4 linked regions of the Sus scrofa genome follow. The protein of the gene in region 1 interacts with the protein of each later gene in a biochemical or structural test. Links are inferred from orthologs where the notes say so. Each region holds a gene or a part of one and is shown in the gene's direction. Other genes may lie near its edges.

Region 1 (2,911 bases):
TAATAATAAAAGCCCTCAAGTGGGCTTCTAGACAGTGGGGTCAGAATTACACTCAGTTTACGCATGAGATCAACTCGATAAGGTCAAATGTCCGAATCCAGGCGTCAGAAGTAGTTTTTCCTATTCTAAATCCAACGCTAAGATTATATAGACGAGGCTGCTGAAAATTAAGAATGAGAAACTACTACTAATCACAGTAAAAGATATTTAAAAAGGAAAAGCATGGGAAGTCTTGAAAATACTGTAATTTTTAAGAAACGTGGATTGCTCCTGACGGCTCAAACACTCAAAAGACGGGCTTTAGAGGAAACCCAAACCCAGTAAACGCGCCGCACTGAACGGCAAATCCCACGGGAACCACTGGCCTCCCACGTGTCTCTCAGGAAATGCACAAAACGAAGGAAAAAGAAAGCCAAAGGGAGTTGGGTGAAAGGTTTAAAACAGCAGATAGGGATTCACAGGGAGATGGAGGGCACACGAAGCCTGGGGTGGGCAAGAGAGAACTCGCAGAGCATCTGGCAGGCGCCGAGGACGGAGAAGAGGCCTGGAAGCAAAGCAGGGGGAGGCTTTCATCTGGAGAGCGGGCGGCCAACGGGCCCCACCCAGTGGATCTGCTTCTCAGGTTCCAATGGGGGCGGAGGAGGAGAGCGCGCGGAAGAGAAAAGCAGAGAGGGGAGAAGACGCTAGAATAGCTACAGGTGGGCGCGGGTCAGAGCCCGGGCTGCGCGGGAGCAGGGCTGGCCCCACCTGGGAGCCTCCGAGCCGCCGTAGCCCCGCCCCTCCGCGCGTGGCGCCCCTGACGCTTGGCGCGCAGGCCGCTCTCCTTACAGAGGTCGCTCTTGTCCCGAACGGTCGGCCTCTGCTGCGCCTGCGTCGTCGGGAGGGGAAGTGAGGCGGTTTCCTCGGCGCCTTTTCCGGCGGCGGCGGCGGTAGAACTGGGAGGAGGCGGTGGAGGCCGGAGGGAGCCCGCGCTCTGGGCGGCGGCTGGAGGTAACCTCCTGGGCTGAGCTGGAAAGGCGGGCTCCTTCGGCCTCCGCTCTCTTCTGGGGCTCCCGCAGTAACTCCCTTTTTCCTCTCTGTGTTTCTGCAGGCAGCGCACCGAGTTCCCGCGAGGATCAATGACCCGACGGGGCGCCGGAGCCGCTCTGCTCTCGTGTGGCCTGGGTCAGTGGTGAGCGCGGTGCTCCGCGGACCGGAGGCCGGGCCGAAGGGCCGCAGTCTCCCGCGGCGGAGTGAGGTGAAGGCGGCCGAGCAGGAGCCGGCGGCGGCGCTTGTACGGCGCCTGCGGGGGGAAGGGCAGTTCCGGGCCGGGCCGCGCCTCAGCAGGGCGGCGGCTCTCCCAACGCAGACTCAGGCCGCGGCGACGGGAGGAATCAAGTTGTGTGGTCGGTGATGCCCGAGTGAGCTACGGGCCCGGGCCTCTGCCCTGAGGAGGCAACTCCCACGCAGGCCGCACGGGCCCCCTCGCGACTGGGAAGCTCCGTTTCGGTTTCGCGGCGGCGGCGGCGTTGTTGGAGGGGACCCGGGACACCTGAATGCCCCCGGCCCCGGTTCCTCCGAAGCGATGGGGAAGGTGCTATCTAAGATCTTCGGGAACAAGGAAATGCGAATCCTCATGTTGGGCCTGGACGCGGCCGGCAAGACAACCATCCTGTACAAGTTGAAGCTGGGCCAGTCGGTGACCACCATCCCCACCGTGGGTTTCAACGTGGAGACGGTGACTTACAAAAACGTCAAGTTCAACGTATGGGATGTGGGCGGCCAGGACAAGATCCGGCCGCTCTGGCGGCATTACTACACCGGGACCCAGGGTCTGATCTTCGTAGTGGACTGCGCCGACCGCGACCGCATAGACGAGGCCCGCCAGGAGCTACACCGCATTATCAATGACCGGGAGATGAGGGACGCCATAATCCTCATCTTCGCCAACAAGCAGGACCTGCCTGATGCCATGAAACCCCACGAGATCCAGGAGAAACTGGGCCTGACCCGGATTCGGGACAGGAACTGGTATGTGCAGCCCTCCTGTGCCACCTCGGGGGACGGACTCTATGAGGGGCTCACATGGTTAACCTCTAACTACAAATCCTAATGAGCATTCTCCACCCATCCCCCAGAAGGAGAGAAATCAAAAACCCATTCATAGGATTATCGCCACCATCACCTCTTTGAATTGCCACTTTCTCTTCTTTTGAATTTGAACTTTGGAGTTACAGTTCTACGGTTTGGGGGAGGGGGTTAGGGGGTTTCTTTTTTGTTTCTTTTCTTTTTCTTTCTTTCTTTTTTTTTTTTTGGCTTTGCGTTAGGATGCTCTGAGCTGACTTTTGACACGAACACAAAGTACTTAGATACTCTCGTTGACTTCCAGCAAATGGGATGGGGGAAATACAGCAGTTCTTGATAAATTCCTTTATAATAATGGTTTGATTTTTTTATTTCGAGAGAATCTTCTTTTCCAATGTATGCTTTTTTCCTTTTTGCCCAGTTTCCTTATCACTTGCTGTAGATGGCTTATTTTGCATTCATGCAGACTATGTTGCAAGTCTGTTTCATCTAGTAAACTGAAAATTATTGCTTAATCAAACTGCCGTTTGTCTTTTATATTTAAGGCCTTTTCCCCCTCCCTTATGAATTCCAACTTAGTAAATTCAAATGTGACCTTTTATATCTAAGACCAGTATAGTAAACTTAGCCCACAGGGGCAAATAATGAGTAATATCATTGTAATATGTTCCAGTTGCACATCAGTATGTTAAAACAGGTAATGTAAGTTCTTTGAAATGTCAGCTTTTAAGTTCTGAAACATACATCATGCATGAGTAAGGATAAAACTCAAGTTCCCCTTTACAGAGCTAACTTACAGTGCATAAAAATATGAAAATGTAACCAGTCAAGGACACAGATTTTTTTT
Region 2 (4,493 bases), on another chromosome or scaffold:
AAGGCAGAGCCTACGTTTTCACTGTATCTGGCCTTCTCCTATTGTCCCATTCTCCAAGACAGGGACCAAAAAGCTAGCATTTGGAAGAAAGAATGTCTTTTGTTTCACCACTCTTTGACTATGAAGAGGCTGAGGTTGATGGGGAGGCCATGGGAAGGGGTAAGAGATCGGAGGGGCCAGTGCCCAGAGGAAGGAGGCCCAAAGAAAGGTGAGCCAAAGCCGCTCTCGGTTGCATGGCAACCACTGCGGTCAAAAGCCAGCTATGCCTGCTAGGAGATGTGACTCACAGAAACAACCAATGGTTGTGCCCCGCCCCCTGGCAACAAGCCTAATAAGGTACCGCCCCCTAGCAACGTATTGGTGGAGGCGGGGCTCAGTTGAATGGTATCCTAAATGCCCGCAGCCCTTGCGCAGGCGTATTCCTCTCTCTCTTCTCACGCAACTCCTTTCCGAGGCTTCTCATTGGCTTGCAAGCCAGCCAAGTGCTTTCTTTAGTTTCGGAGGCGGGACCCGGTCCCCTGCCAGCATTCCGATTGGCCTCGCAGACCATCTACCTCCTGCCGGACACGGCTATATCTACTCCTTGTGCGTCTATTGGCCGTGGAGGGCGATCCTTTGATATCGGAGGCGGGGCAGGCGAGAAGTCCCGCCGTAGATTGGGCGGTGTCAAAACGAGGGGCGGTCCCTACTGGCGGGGCGGTTGGGAGACGAAGGGAGAGTCTTTTCAGCGCTGAGGACTGGCGCTGAGGAGGCGGCGGTGGCTCCCGGGGCGTTTGAGCGGGCTCACCCGAGCCCGCGGGCCAACGCGGATCCAGGCCCGACCGGCGGGACCGCCCCGGACTCCCCGCGGGCCTTCCTAGCCGCCATGGAGGACGGTGTCTACGGTGAGTCGGGGAGGGGCGGGGCCGGCTGCAAGTGGATGGAGAGTTTCGCCCCGAAGGTTCCGCCGCGAACGTTCTCCCCGTAGCGCGCCTTGCTGAGCCTTTCGGCCCCGTCGTCGCCTTGCTTTTGTGGGGCCTGGGACGCGCTTCCGGCGGGGCTGGAGACTGGGGCGTTCCAGGCCATTGTTTGGGCCGAGCCTGTTTCCGGTGGCGGCGGGAGGGGGTGGGATGGAGCGGTGGAGGCGAGGCCCGGGGCGGAACCATTCCCTCTGGAGGGGCCGGGCGAGCCCAGTGCCTGCTGGGAGCGGGAAGGGGGGCTTCTGGGGGCGGTGGGGTGGGGAGAAATCTTGGGGCCTACCGAGAGCCCGCTAAGGCGGGGGCGGGGGCTTCCGATGCCCCGCCCCCTTCCTTAACTCTTGCCAGCTGTCATCAGCTTCCCCTGCCATAGTTACTTTCCATGGACCCAGGAGTCCGGACACCCAGACCCTCAGCTCCCTCGCCGAGAATGGAGGCAGAAAACCAAGGCCTCAGCCCCCTGTCAAGTAATGGACCGTAGCTCAAGCTTCCAGCCCTTTTTTGCTCCCCGCAGACCTGAGTTGAGGCTCCCAGTCCCCTTCCTCCACCCCCGGACTAAAGAGTTTGGATTCCCAGCCCTTCCATCTCTGGATTGAGGAATCTAGGCCCCCAACCCCTTCTTCCAGCAGACGGAGGAGGCTGGACCCTCATCCTCCCCGAACCTAGACGTCCTGCCCATCCCCCACCCCCACCCCTGTCCTCCCGCAGATGGCAGACATCCGGGTTTGGGGTCCCCAGAACTGACCCCCCCCACCCCCGACCCTCTTCCCCAGAGCCCCCGGACCTGACTCCCGAGGAGCGGATGGAGCTGGAGAACATCCGGCGGCGGAAGCAGGAGCTGCTGGTGGAGATCCAGCGCCTGCGGGAGGAGCTCAGCGAAGCCATGAGCGAAGTCGAGGGGCTGGAGGCCAATGAGGGCAGGTGAGGGCTGGGGCCGGGATCCTGGGGGTCAGGGGGCTTGGCTTGGGCCGGAGATGCACAGGCATTGACCCTCCATCCTGCACTCTCTGCCCCTGCAGCAAGACCTTGCAGCGGAACCGGAAGATGGCAATGGGCAGGAAGAAGTTCAACATGGACCCCAAAAAGGTGCTTGGGACCACAGGGCTGGGATCAGCCAGGAAGACAGACAGGGATTCTGGCATCTCCAGGTAGCAGAGGTGTGGTGGTGGACAGACTCGGGCCTGATCCCTGGATTCAGATATTGGCTGTCCCTCTGTCCCCTGACCTTTGCTTGTGCCTGATCCTCTGCGTGGGAGGTCCTCTTCCCCTTTTTGCTCATATTTCTGGACCCACTTCTTTTTTTTTTTTTTTTTGTTGTTGTTGTTATTGTTGCTATCTCTTGGTTCTTGGGCCGCTCCCGCGGCATATGGAGGTTCCCAGGCTAGGGGTTGAATCGGAGCTGTAGCCACCGGCCTACGCCAGAGCCACAGCAACGCGGGATCCGAGCCGCGTCTGCAACCTACACCACAGCTCACAGCAACGCCGGATCCTTAACCCACTGAGCAAGGGCAGGGACCGAACCCTCAACCTCATGGTTCCTAGTTGGATTCGTTAACCACTGCGCCACGACGGGAACTCCCTGGACCCACTTCTGATGTAATCTGGAGTCCCCAGGAGGAACTCAGTTGAGTCTGGTAGGGAACGTGGACAGGGACATGAGCAAAGGAGGGTTGACAGGTGCCATAACAGAGAGAGAGGTACCAGGGCCATGGATGTTCAGAGCAGGAAGCCTGGTGGCATCAAAGAGGGCTTCCCTGAGGAGGGGGTATTCAGGTCAGGTTTGAAGGATGAATTAGTGTTCCCCGAATGGAAGAAAAATGTTTGTTCATTCATTCTTTCATTTTACGCCCATTTTCTGAGGCCTGCCTGGGGCCCGTCCCTCTGCTAGGCAAGGCCGGGGACCCAGAGAAGACTTTGACCCTGTCTTGCCCTCCAGGAGCCCCTAGACCTGGATACACAATCCAGAGTGAGGTGTAGCCACAGTGGGGATCCTCGTGGCATCAGGAGAGCCAGAAAAAGCCCTAGTCTGGCCTGAGGCCTGGCCCTCACAGCACTTGACTACTAATGGTTTTCCACTTTATTCCTTTTTTCTTTTTTTTTTTTTTTTCCTTTCCATTTTTGGCTGCCCTGGGACATGTGGCCAGGGATCAGATCCAGGCCGCTCTTGTAACCAGTGCTGCAGCTGCAGCAGTGCCGGATCGTTTAACCCACAGTGCCAGGCTGGGGAATCAAACCTGTGTCCTGGTGCTGCAGAAATGCTGCTAATCCTGTTGTGCCACAGCAGGAACTCCCACTTTATTCTGCTTGCCTGAAGTAGTTGTAGTTTGTTCAGTCAACCAGCAAACATTTTTGGAGCTCCTGTTTCTTGCCAGACCCTGCTGGGCTGGGGGGAGTTGGGGAGGGCGGGGCTGGCATTAACCAGGCAAAGGCTATGACGTGGGAGGGATGATGCTAAGTACGGACCTGGGCAAAGCTTGGAAATGAAACTCGGCCCTGCTCTGTTGGGCATGGGGGGTGGGTTCGGAGGCTGAGGGTTCTGAGACTTTGGTGGGAAGTGGCCTGCCCAGCACGCCGGCCCTGAGACCCAGCCCCCACCCCCGCCCACCAGGGGATCCAGTTCCTGGTGGAGGATGAACTTCTACAGAACACCCCCGAGGAGATCGCCCGCTTCCTGTACAAGGGCGAAGGCCTGAACAAGACGGCCATCGGGGACTACCTGGGGGAGAGGTGAGCCCCCACCCCACCCCTACCGCTCGCACCCAGCTCCTGCCCTCGGACTGCCAGCGCCTCCCGAGGAGAGGCCCAGCCGGCTGGACTGGCAAAAGGAACTGACACGGGTCTGGGGGAGCCAGAGACCTTCTGGGGAGCCTGGGGACCATCTGCGAGCATCTAGGGGGCTTGGGGACCTTTGTGGACATCTGGGCCGCGTGGGGGACCATCCATTTATGTCGGGAGACAGTTGAGAACACCTGCAAGTGTTGCGGGAGCGTGCGAAGCACGTGTAGACCGCAGGCGTGCACGGGAACCATGTGGACAGCTGGGAAGCGTGGGGGCTGCCGGTGGATATCTGGGGAACATGGGGGCCCCGTGGACGTCCGTGAGCGTGAGGGCCATGTGGCCCTCCAGGGTGTGTGTGGGGCACCTAGAAGTGTAGAGTATGTGAGACGTCGGCAGGAGTGGATGGCTGTCTGGGGTTCCCAGGGGTTTACGGATACCTGGGCACGTGGGGACCATCATGGATGTTGGGATACGGCACCTGTCTGGACACCCAGGGTGTCTGGGGACCTTCTGTGAGGCTCTGGGGGGTGGAGACCGCCTGAACAGCTGCGGTGCCCAGGACCATCCGTCGGTGTCTGGGATCACAGGGATTGTGCAGACCTCTAGGGGGTGTGGAACCTTCTGGATATCTGCGGTGAAGAGACTGGGGACCTCGGGGGTGCCTGGGGACGGTCTGGACACCTAGGGGATGCGGGGGTCATCTCTGCCTGCCCCGGGATTGTCCATGATCTGAGGGCGTGTGTGGAGACGGTTGGATGT
Region 3 (4,597 bases), on another chromosome or scaffold:
CGCAGGAGCCTGAGTGATAACCAGTGCTGGCGCTCCATGTGGCTCCGCTCGCACTGACGGCTCTGGGGCCAGGGGTGTCAGTAAAATGTATCTCACATGTTATATAATATATTTGGTTATTATCCTATTAAATGTGACAGATACATGAGTGATATAGACCTATAAAGAGAGATACAGAGAGAGTTAAGTTTTTTTTTTTTTTTTAAGGGCCGCACCCGTGGCATATGGAGGTTCCCAGGTTAGGGGTCGAATTGGAGCTGTAGCTGCCAGCCTAAACCACAGCCATAGCAATTCGGGATCCAAGCCGCATTTGCAACCTACATGACAGCTCACAGCAACACCACATCCCTAACCCACTGATTGAGGCCAGGGATCGAAGCTGCATCCTCATGGACACTCGTCAGGTTCATTTCTGCTGAGCCACGATGGGAACTCTGCGAGTTAAATATTATACATGAAAGAGAGAGAATGAGAATGTAGTACATAAAAATATGGAAGAATATGAAGAATATACACCGACATGTCATCAGCGATTACCCCAGGGTGACAGGATTAAACCTCTCCCCTCACTGCCATAACCTAACTTCCACAAGGAGCCTGTGTCATGATTATAACAAGAGCATGCCCTAAAGAGCAGCTGGGAGTTCCCGTTGTGACTCAGCGGTAACGAACCTGACTAGGATCCATGAGGACGCAGGTTCGATCCCTGGCCTCGCTCAGTGGGTTAAGTATCAGGTGTTACTATGAGCTGTGGTGTAGGTCACAGATGCGGCTCAGATCCGGTGTTGCTGTGGCTGTGGTGTAGGCCAGCGGCTACAGCTCCAGTTAGACCCCTAACCTGGGAACCTCCATATGCCACGTGTGTGGCTATAAAAAGAAAAGAAAAAAAGGGGGGGGGGAGAATGGCTGGGTTTGAACCTAGACTGGGGATGCCATTGAACTTACCCTGGGAGTGATACCCGAAGATTTTTTGGGGGGGTGGCCACTAAAGCCTGCCTCCTGCTTTTCTCCTGTGACCTCATGAGGTCTTGGAATGATTAGGATCTCTTAGTCACACTCTGGGGAAATGCGCTGTAATCTCATCGTGAGATGACCGGGGTTTTAAGTGATTCACTCCAAGAAAGTCCTTGGGGGGTGAGAAGAACGCCTTCTCCGCTCTGTCTGTCACTTCGGCTGAAGCTGAGCAAAGCCCAGAAGAGCCTCTGCTGCTCCCTGGACTCCAGCGTCAGACGCTTGCCAGGGCGGAGCTGGTTAACCTCGAGGAAGTTACTTGAGCTTGACTTCAGGAACTGGGTGGTGGCAGTGAGCTGGGAGGGACGCCGCCGTGGCTGGAGGCCGATTGGCCCAGGAGCGCGGCCGCAAGCTCCCCTAGTCCAGGAAGCAGCTCGGAGCCGCGGGTGGGCCCGCAGGTGGTCCTGCCCCACCCAGCCCTGCCTCCCAGGGCACCTGGGCCGAGCTCTCCTTTGAAGAACGAGCCCCGCCACCTTCGGGGCGGCCGCGGGGGGAGAGATGGTCCGTCAAACCGAGGAGGGGGCTGGTGAGTCCCGGTGTTGCCTGGGCGAGTGGGGCGGGGGTTGGCGTCTCTTGATCAGCGTGGAAGGTCTGCGAGTCGCCGCCTCTTGGGGGGGAGTGCCGACTGAGAGAGGTGGGGGGGGAGGGGGAGGGGAGAGCCCGTTGTGACACGGAAGCTCCCCCCCCACTCTTCTTGCCTACGCGCCGCCCTGCGTGTGGCTCGGTGGCCTGTGCCCTCCTTCTCGGCGACCGTGTCTGTACTTCCGGAGTCTGGGTGCCTGTCCTAGGAGCTCTGGAGTTGCAGGTACCCCCAGAGCGCGTGTGACCCCGCGGAAGGAGGGGCGTGGGAGACCGGGCGGAAAGCACCGGTGGGGCTTCCTCTGGGGTGTCCCCTCCCCGCCCGCCCGCGCTGTCACCAGCTGGACGCTGAGTAAAGGGATGACACGGTTCGTGGATGGTAAGTCCCGAAAGTTTTTGCAGAAGAACTGGCTTCGAGGAGCCTGGGTCAGGGCTCTCGCGTGTCCTGACGTCAGGGGCTGGCTGGGTGTGGCGCTTTCGTGGGTGCCTTCCCTGGGTGACAAGGACGTGAGGCTGCCCTTTAAACGTAAGACAGCTTGCAGCCAGTAACGAGTGACAGGAATAGGTCTGAAACGCACGTTAGGATGTTTTGCAAAGCGGCTCATGGCTTTGAAAGTGTTGGGGCTCCTTTTTATGCCTTTCCTCGTCGGGCGCACCATGCGGCACGTCTCCAGGTGCCGTCTCTGCTGGGCGGGGCGTGGACCACATCCGTGGGGTCCCGTGGGGGCGGCCCCGGGAGAGAGGGCAGTGGGTGTTGGTTCATAACGCTGTGCCGGCAAAGAGGGGGCGGTTGCGAGAGGCGATTCCGGGTCAGGGCTGAGCCGCCCCCGTGGGAGTTGTCTCGGAGGGGAGTCCGCAGTAGCCCAGGTCTCTGGTGCACAAGGGGCCCTCGTGCCCGTGGAGGAGGACGCTCGCCGATGGCGCCTGGCCTGGGCAGTGGGCAGACGCGACCACCACTCCCTGAGCCGGTCCTTCCCTCTGACCGCTGCTCCTGCCCTGGCCTGGCCTCAGACCTGCCCGGTGGCGCTGTTCACCAGCCACTGCAAACTCGAAAGTAAGGGGGCCCGTGTTGTCGGCCTCTCCCATGTCGGAGGCTTTAGCTGAAACGCAGCTGCTCAGGGTGCGCCCTTGACGCAGGGGTGACGTGGGGCCGGGTGGTTTAGAGGCGGTTAGCAGGCAGCGTTGCTTTGACAGGTGGCTCTCTGTCTCCCTCAGTCCCCCTGGGAGAGCTTGGTCGTGTGGTCTCTTTGGGACGAGAGGGAGGCAGTGTCGCGAGGCATCGAGGGGAGATGTGGAGGTGGCATCAGGCAGATGTGAGCGTGAAGCGAGCTCGTGGCCTTTCTGGGCGGGTCCATGGTCTCCCCCGGGAGAGCGAGGTGCCAGCGTGTTGCTGCTCTCGCCGCGGCGTGGACTAGCTTGTTACCCAGAGAGGCTCCAAGACGGGGGAATCAAGTTTGACAAATGGCTCGGAGTGCCCGCTGTGGCACAGCAGGATTGGTGGCATCTCGGAAGCGCTGGGAAGCAAGTTCCATCCCCGGCCTGGCGCAGTGGGTTAAGGATCCGGCCCTGCCACAGCTGCGGCTCAGGTCTGAGCCCTGGTCCCAGAACACCACATGCCACACGGTGGCCAGAAGCCCCCGTGGTTCTAAAGAAGCCCAACTCCGCCTGCCCCACAGTCCGCGGTCGCCGTCCTGCTGCAGACGAGGCGTCGCCTCTGGTTCTCCCGACCGCTGACTTCCACTCTAGCCGTGCAGCCGTGTGCCAGCGGAGAGCAACCATTTCACTGAACTGGGCACCATTTTCTTTCCTGCTTGGGCTGTTTAATGGGCTATTTATTCGTCCTTTTGTTTTGTTTTGGCCTGGGGCATGTAGAAATTCCTGGGCCAGGGATCGAACCTGCACCCTAGGACCATATCACAGCGGTGACCGTGCCAGGTCCTTAACGGCTGGGCCAGCGGGCACCTCCTAATCTGCTCGTTTTAGTGTTTGTTCCCCTTTGATTAACCTTTGACCCCTCTCTTTGGGAAGGACTCTGAGCTCCTTGGTGTGTGGGACACACAGCCCTCACCCGTGCACAGAAAGGCTTTCTGCCGGGTGTCCTGGGCCCCACCTGACGTGTGTTCGCCGTCCCTGGCACCTGGCCTCTCCCTGGCCTTTCCCTTGTGCAGGGCACGTCCGGGGCTACTTAATCCCAGCCCCGAGCACAGGCTGGGCGAGTGCAAGGGCGGGGTGCTGATTCTGCTGAGCCCTCAGCCAGTGAGCTTGAGTTGGGCTCAGTCTGGAGTTGTTTGGCCAGGAATAGTTTAATTAGAATTTCAGCTCTGGAGACTCTTCACACTCAAGGAGTCTTACCTCCCCTAGAAACTGGAGGTAACAGTGCATAGTTCATTGTCAGGAAGTGTGCAGAGTTCGTGGTTGGACTTTATTGTCAAGTTCAAATGAAAATGAAAAAAGATTTGTAAGCTGTGGACACGCTGTGACTCTAGGGCAGAGTTACGTGGGAAAAGGGGCTGGAGAGCGCAGAGTGGCTCTCCTTTGGGATAGTGGGTTTTCAGGTTGCATCTGAAGTAGTCTCTCCGGTGTTAACTCACCCCTCATCCCCTCCTGTTCTCTAAATGTGTTGCTTGTAGCCGGGCCAGCCTCACGTTGGGCAGGTTGCTTAGGCGGAGGCGCGTGTCAGGAGGAGAAGTTAAGGTGCTATGAGTGAGCACCCCCCAGATACTTCTCCCTCCCTCATGGGCTGAGGCTGTATTTTTCAAAATCAGAAGTGGTGACATCTTTATTTTTAAGCGGGAGCGCCTGGCGTTGCGCAGAGCACACATCTCAGCAGACCTGCAGAACCATCTGCCACGACCAGCTTTGAAGGGACTGGCTCTGGCTGAATCTTTTTTCTTTTTTTTTTTTTTTTTTTGGTCCTCTTAGGGCCTCACCTGTGGCATATGGACATTCCCAGGCTAGGGGGCGAACCGGATCCATAGCCACGAGCCTACACCACAGCCACAGCAAC
Region 4 (4,616 bases), on another chromosome or scaffold:
GAGCTGGTGGGCTCCATATACTTAACTTCTTCACCTGGTGGGGTTTCAGCCTCTGCAAAACAGGTCTGAAGGGAGTTCCTGTCATGGCTCAGTGGTTAACGAATCCGACGAAGAATCCACGAGGTTTCGGGTTCGATCCCTGGCCTTGCTCAGTGGGTTAAGGATCCGGCGTTGCTGTGAGCTGTGGTGTGGGTTGCATCCTGAGTTGCTGTGGTTCTGGTGTAGGCTTGGCCTGCAGCTCCAATTAGACCCCTAGCCCGAGAACCTCCATATGATTCAGGGTAAGGCTGTAGAAAAGGCAAAAGGACAAAAAAAAAAAAAAACCCAAAAAAACAGCTCGGAAGATGATCTATCGGAGTTCCCCTTGTGGCTTAGGGGTATTGAACCCGACTACTGTCCATGAGGACGTGGGTTTGTAGGTGTGGCCCTAAAAAAAAAAAGTGATCTATAGCCCCCTTGAGGAGGAGCTAACTAAGGCTCCTTGACTGTTCTGTCTGTCTGCTGCTTGACTCTTTTCCTTTCTTTCTACATTTTTTTTTCACTTTTCTAATTAAATTTACTCTTTGGAACTCGGGGAAGGCCTAGGGGGCTAGTGTTTTCTAAAGACATGAGGAAGGCAGAGGACATAAGGAAAACAAGAAAAAGAAAACACAGGGATAATTTTTTTAAAAAATTATTTTTTTACTAAGGTATAATTTACACGCAGTGAAATTCATTCTCTGGTGATACAATTCTGTGAATTTTTTTTCTCTTTTTACAGTTGCACCCGTGGCATATGGAGGTTCCCAGACTAGGGGTCTAATTGGAGCTGCAGCATATGGAGGTTCCCAGACTAGGGGTCGAATCGGAGCTGTAGCCGCCGGCCTACGCCACAGCCACAGCAACGCGGGATCCGAGCCGCGTCTGCAACCTTGACACCGGATCCTTAACCCGCTGATCGAGGGCAGGGACCGAACCCGCAACCTCATGGTTTCTAGTCGGATGCGTTAACCACTGCGCCACGACGGGAACTCCTGTCCGAGATTTTTAAAAAAGGCCTCTGCGTTGGGCCACCCGTTCCTTGGGTCACAAGTGAGGGACCGCATGTTCAGGGCCCTTCCACACTCAGGCCGGGACTGCGAGCCACGGTTGCGGGAGGAGGATGTCACGCGCACTTCGCTCGCCCGGTTGGATCGCATCCGTTGCTTATCAATTTGAGGGAGCTCTTTATGCAGGCAAGACGCAGTCATCCGCGTTGCGTGTGGGGGTGCATGACGTCACGCCCGGGGTTGCTGCCTTCCAGCGCATTCGCCCCCTTTACACCCAGCCTCCCGGTGCCGCAGAGGAAGGGAGACCCACATACAGCCCCACAGCTTCGCAGCGCGGCTGCCTGCCTTTATAGCAGCCCGGCGAGGGGCGGAGCCAGATGGCGGCGCGACGTGATGACGTCAGGCCGACAGAGGGCGGGGCGAGGGCGGCGGCGTGAGCTCGGGTACCGCGGACACCTCCTCGTCCTCCTCAACCGTGTTCCCCTCAGCGTCCTCCTGCGCGCCGTCCTCCTGTTTAGGGTCCTGATTCTCCAGATCCCCCTCCTCGGCGACCCGCTCCTTAGCCTCCCCTCCTCGTCCTCACCCTCGGCTTCCTTGTGCCACCCGCCGCCGCCGCCGCCGCCGCCATGGGCCCGCGCCCGCCGCGCCGCAGGGCCGAGGACAGCTGAGGCGCGGCGCGAAGATGGGCGAGGGCGGAGCAGGGCCCGAGCGCCAGCCCGAGCAGCCCGGGCGCCCCGCGCGCGCCCGCCCGCGTCGCCGCGGGGATGCCCGCGCCCGCCGCCGCGCCCTGAGCGCCTTTGTCTGCCGCCCGCGCCGCCCGCCGTTCCACTGGCCTCGCGGGCCTGCGCCGCGGCCGGGGGCGCGCCCATGAAGATGGAGCCGGGCCGGCCGGCCTCCCCCTCGGGCGGCCCGGGCCCCGACCCAGACCCCGGCGGGCCCGGCGCGCCCTCCGCTCCCGCCCTCCACCTGGGGCTCGGCCCGCAAGACCCCGAAGCCGGCCCGGAGGCCGGACGGGGCCCGGGGCCGGAGCGGAGGCCTCAGCGCCTTGGCCGGGCCCCAGACCCGGACCCCGACTCCGATCCCGACCCCGACCCCGACCCCGACCCGCCGCTGTCGGAACTAGGCCCGCTTTATTCCTGGACCGCTGAGCCGGAGGGTGACGGCCCCCCAAGCTGCCCGCACAGCGCGACAGCCCGCGCGCAGGATTTCAGCCGCAGCCACCACCTGCGGGGCGAGGTCGACTTCTTCCCCCCCTTCCCCTCGCCCGAGGTCGGCGAGCCGGCGCTGGAGCTGGGTCCCGGGGACCCGGACCGGCCCTCGGACTTCAGCCAGACCCGCCCCTTAACGAGCGAGCCCGCGGGGTGTCCGGAGGACGCCCCCCGGCTCCGAGCCGTGTTCGAAGCCCTGGACGGGGATGGAGACGGCTTCGTCCGCATCGCGGACTTCGTCCAGTTCGCCACCGTCTACGGGGCAGAGCAGGTAACTCGCAGCGTGGGAGCCGGGCTCCGTGCGCGGGGGTCGCGGAGGGCACTTAAGGCCGGGGTCCGCGTCCTCTCGTGCTTGACTTCTGCCCTCACCTCTGGTCGAATTTCGCCGAAGCGCCTCTTTCCCCTTGAGAGAGGTTCTAATTCCGGGATTTAGTGTCTTCCCTGACGTCTCAGGCCACACAAGCTGGATATTTTCCTAAGTCGAGGGGAGCGCCTGGCCTGGGGACATGCCCCCAGGCTGCCCGATGGAAGTGCCCTCCGCAGACGTGCCCGCCGTTCCCCCAGCGGAGGGCCCAGGTCTGGTCGGGCTGAAGTAATTCGCTCCTTGGGTCTGCCACGGGGCACCTGGACGCTTAGGGATCATGTTCCAGACGTCTATTTTGAGCGCAGTTACTTTACTGTGTGTGGTTGGCATATGTTCTCCATAGACTCGTTGTTTGGGAGACGCCGAATGCCAAAAAATTTCACTGCTGTTCCTTCTGTGCAGAAGGGAAAGAGAGGAAGCCCAGAGGGAGGGGAATGAGCCTCGGAGCACCATGGTGCATGCAGACTTGAGGAAGCCTGAGCAGAACTGCCTCAGGGCCACCTCCTCGCCTGTGGGGCAGGTGTTGGGAAGGCACAGTGCAGTGGGGCAGGGGGTCCTGCCCAGCCCCCCGGGGCTGTGGCTGCGCTAGGAGGAGGTGGCCCTCACCCTCCAGTCCCTCCCTCCCAGCGCTTAGGAAAGTTTAGGTGGAGACAGCAGCAGGGCTGTGTGTGTTCTGGTATTAACCCAAATACATGCAAATTGATTACCGACGTTCACTTGTAATTTTTTTTATTTTTGCCTTTATTATTATTATTTTTTTTAGGGCCACACCGGCAGCATATGGAGGTTCCCAGGTTAGGGGTCACATCAGAGCTGCAGCTGCCAGCCACAGCCACATCAGATCCGAGCCACATGTGCAACCTACACCGCGGCTCGCAGCAACGCCGGATCCTTAACCCACTGAGCAAGGCCAGGGATCGAACCTGTGTCCTCATGGATGCTAGTCAGATTTGTTTCCACTGAGCCACGACAGGAACTCCTACTTGTAAATTTTTGACTTAGGAATAGGAAATTCCTAAAATGCTGATCTGCTAGTTTTTGTGTGTTGCTGACTTCTCACACTTGCGGACATTCGTAAAGTGGCTGTTCAAGCGTGGATACATGTTTAAGCCCAGAGGTCTTTAAGAGGCATCATTGACACCCTGCTTTTCAGAGCATCCGTCATCACGTTAAGAGCCTGTACAAGGGATCCGGGTGCCCGTGAGTGTTGACAGTGTCCATTGAGCTGTTGGGTGCAGAACCGGCTTGCCTGAGCTCAGGTTCCTTGTTGAGGTCCCGGCCTGGGAAGATGTGCATGTGGCAGTGGGCCTGCATGTCGGCGTTGGGTCTGTGGGACGCCCTGCTTTAGCTCTGGGTTGGAAGATCTTGCTTGAGATTGGGTTTCCCATCTCTTAGTCTGACGGACGGAGAGATACACAACTGATAATATCCTGTGTGCTTAGCTTGGACCGAGATGGCTGCTCCAGGTGCTTTTGTTTGTTTTTTGTTTTTTTGTCCTTTTAGGGCTGCACCTGCCTGGAGGTTCCCAGGCTAGGGGTCGAATCGGAGCTGTAGCCACTGGCCTCCACCACAGCCACAGCAACACGGGCTCCGAGCCGCGTCTGCGACCTACACCACGGCTCACGGCAATGCCGGATCCTTCACCCGCTGAGTGAGGCCAGGGATCGAACCGGCAACCTCGTGGTTCCTAGTCGGATGCATTCCGCTGCGCCACGACCCTGGGAACTCCCTGGTCCAGTGTTTTGATGCCTTTCCTCCTTGCCCCTGGGCCGGGGGCGCTTGGGGGTCCTCGGTTGTTTTCTACTGGGGTGGTGGTAGTGCCCCGTGTCTTCGCCCCAAACACACCCTTCCTCGTTCCACCAGTCAAGGATGTTAAGGGAGAGACACATCTGTTCTTCCCTGCCGTGCTCTGCCTCTGATGGAGGCTCTACCTGTTTGTTTCTATTTTCACTGGATCATCCCCCTTTCTCTGAGCTGGTTGTAGGCAGACGGGAATCATCCCACTTTACAGGGAAG

Evidence for each region.
Region 2: the proteins of ARF6 (region 1) and CYTH2 form a complex in vitro, tested with the Homo sapiens proteins (3 studies listed by BioGRID and IntAct, with this or other methods). The link is inferred for Sus scrofa from reciprocal best matches to the Homo sapiens genes ARF6 and CYTH2.
Region 3: the proteins of ARF6 (region 1) and CYTH1 form a complex in vitro, tested with the Homo sapiens proteins (2 studies listed by BioGRID and IntAct, with this or other methods). The link is inferred for Sus scrofa from reciprocal best matches to the Homo sapiens genes ARF6 and CYTH1.
Region 4: the proteins of ARF6 (region 1) and RAB11FIP3 form a complex in vitro, tested with the Homo sapiens proteins (2 studies listed by BioGRID). The link is inferred for Sus scrofa from reciprocal best matches to the Homo sapiens genes ARF6 and RAB11FIP3.

Annotation. Positions count from the first base shown.
Region 1 is NC_010443.5:179,712,473-179,715,383, forward strand, and holds ARF6 (ADP-ribosylation factor 6), read left to right. Parts: upstream 1-1,564; coding exon 1,565-2,092; downstream 2,093-2,911. UniProt on the Homo sapiens protein: GTP-binding protein involved in protein trafficking that regulates endocytic recycling and cytoskeleton remodeling. GTP-bound form plays an important role in the transport of multiple palmitoylated proteins form the Golgi to the plasma membrane.
Region 2 is NC_010448.4:53,868,610-53,873,102, forward strand, and holds the start of CYTH2 (cytohesin-2), read left to right. Parts: upstream 1-1,283; 5' UTR 1,284-1,338; coding exon 1,339-1,423; intron 1,424-1,729; coding exon 1,730-1,877; intron 1,878-1,975; coding exon 1,976-2,042; intron 2,043-3,564; coding exon 3,565-3,683; intron 3,684-4,493. UniProt on the Homo sapiens protein: Acts as a guanine-nucleotide exchange factor (GEF). Promotes guanine-nucleotide exchange on ARF1, ARF3 and ARF6. Activates ARF factors through replacement of GDP with GTP.
Region 3 is NC_010454.4:3,391,748-3,396,344, forward strand, and holds the start of CYTH1 (cytohesin-1), read left to right. Parts: upstream 1-1,387; 5' UTR 1,388-1,509; coding exon 1,510-1,537; intron 1,538-4,597. UniProt on the Homo sapiens protein: Promotes guanine-nucleotide exchange on ARF1, ARF5 and ARF6. Promotes the activation of ARF factors through replacement of GDP with GTP.
Region 4 is NC_010445.4:41,281,789-41,286,404, reverse strand, and holds the start of RAB11FIP3 (rab11 family-interacting protein 3), read left to right. Parts: upstream 1-1,406; 5' UTR 1,407-1,421; coding exon 1,422-2,507; intron 2,508-4,616. UniProt on the Homo sapiens protein: Downstream effector molecule for Rab11 GTPase which is involved in endocytic trafficking, cytokinesis and intracellular ciliogenesis by participating in membrane delivery. Recruited by Rab11 to endosomes where it links Rab11 to dynein motor complex.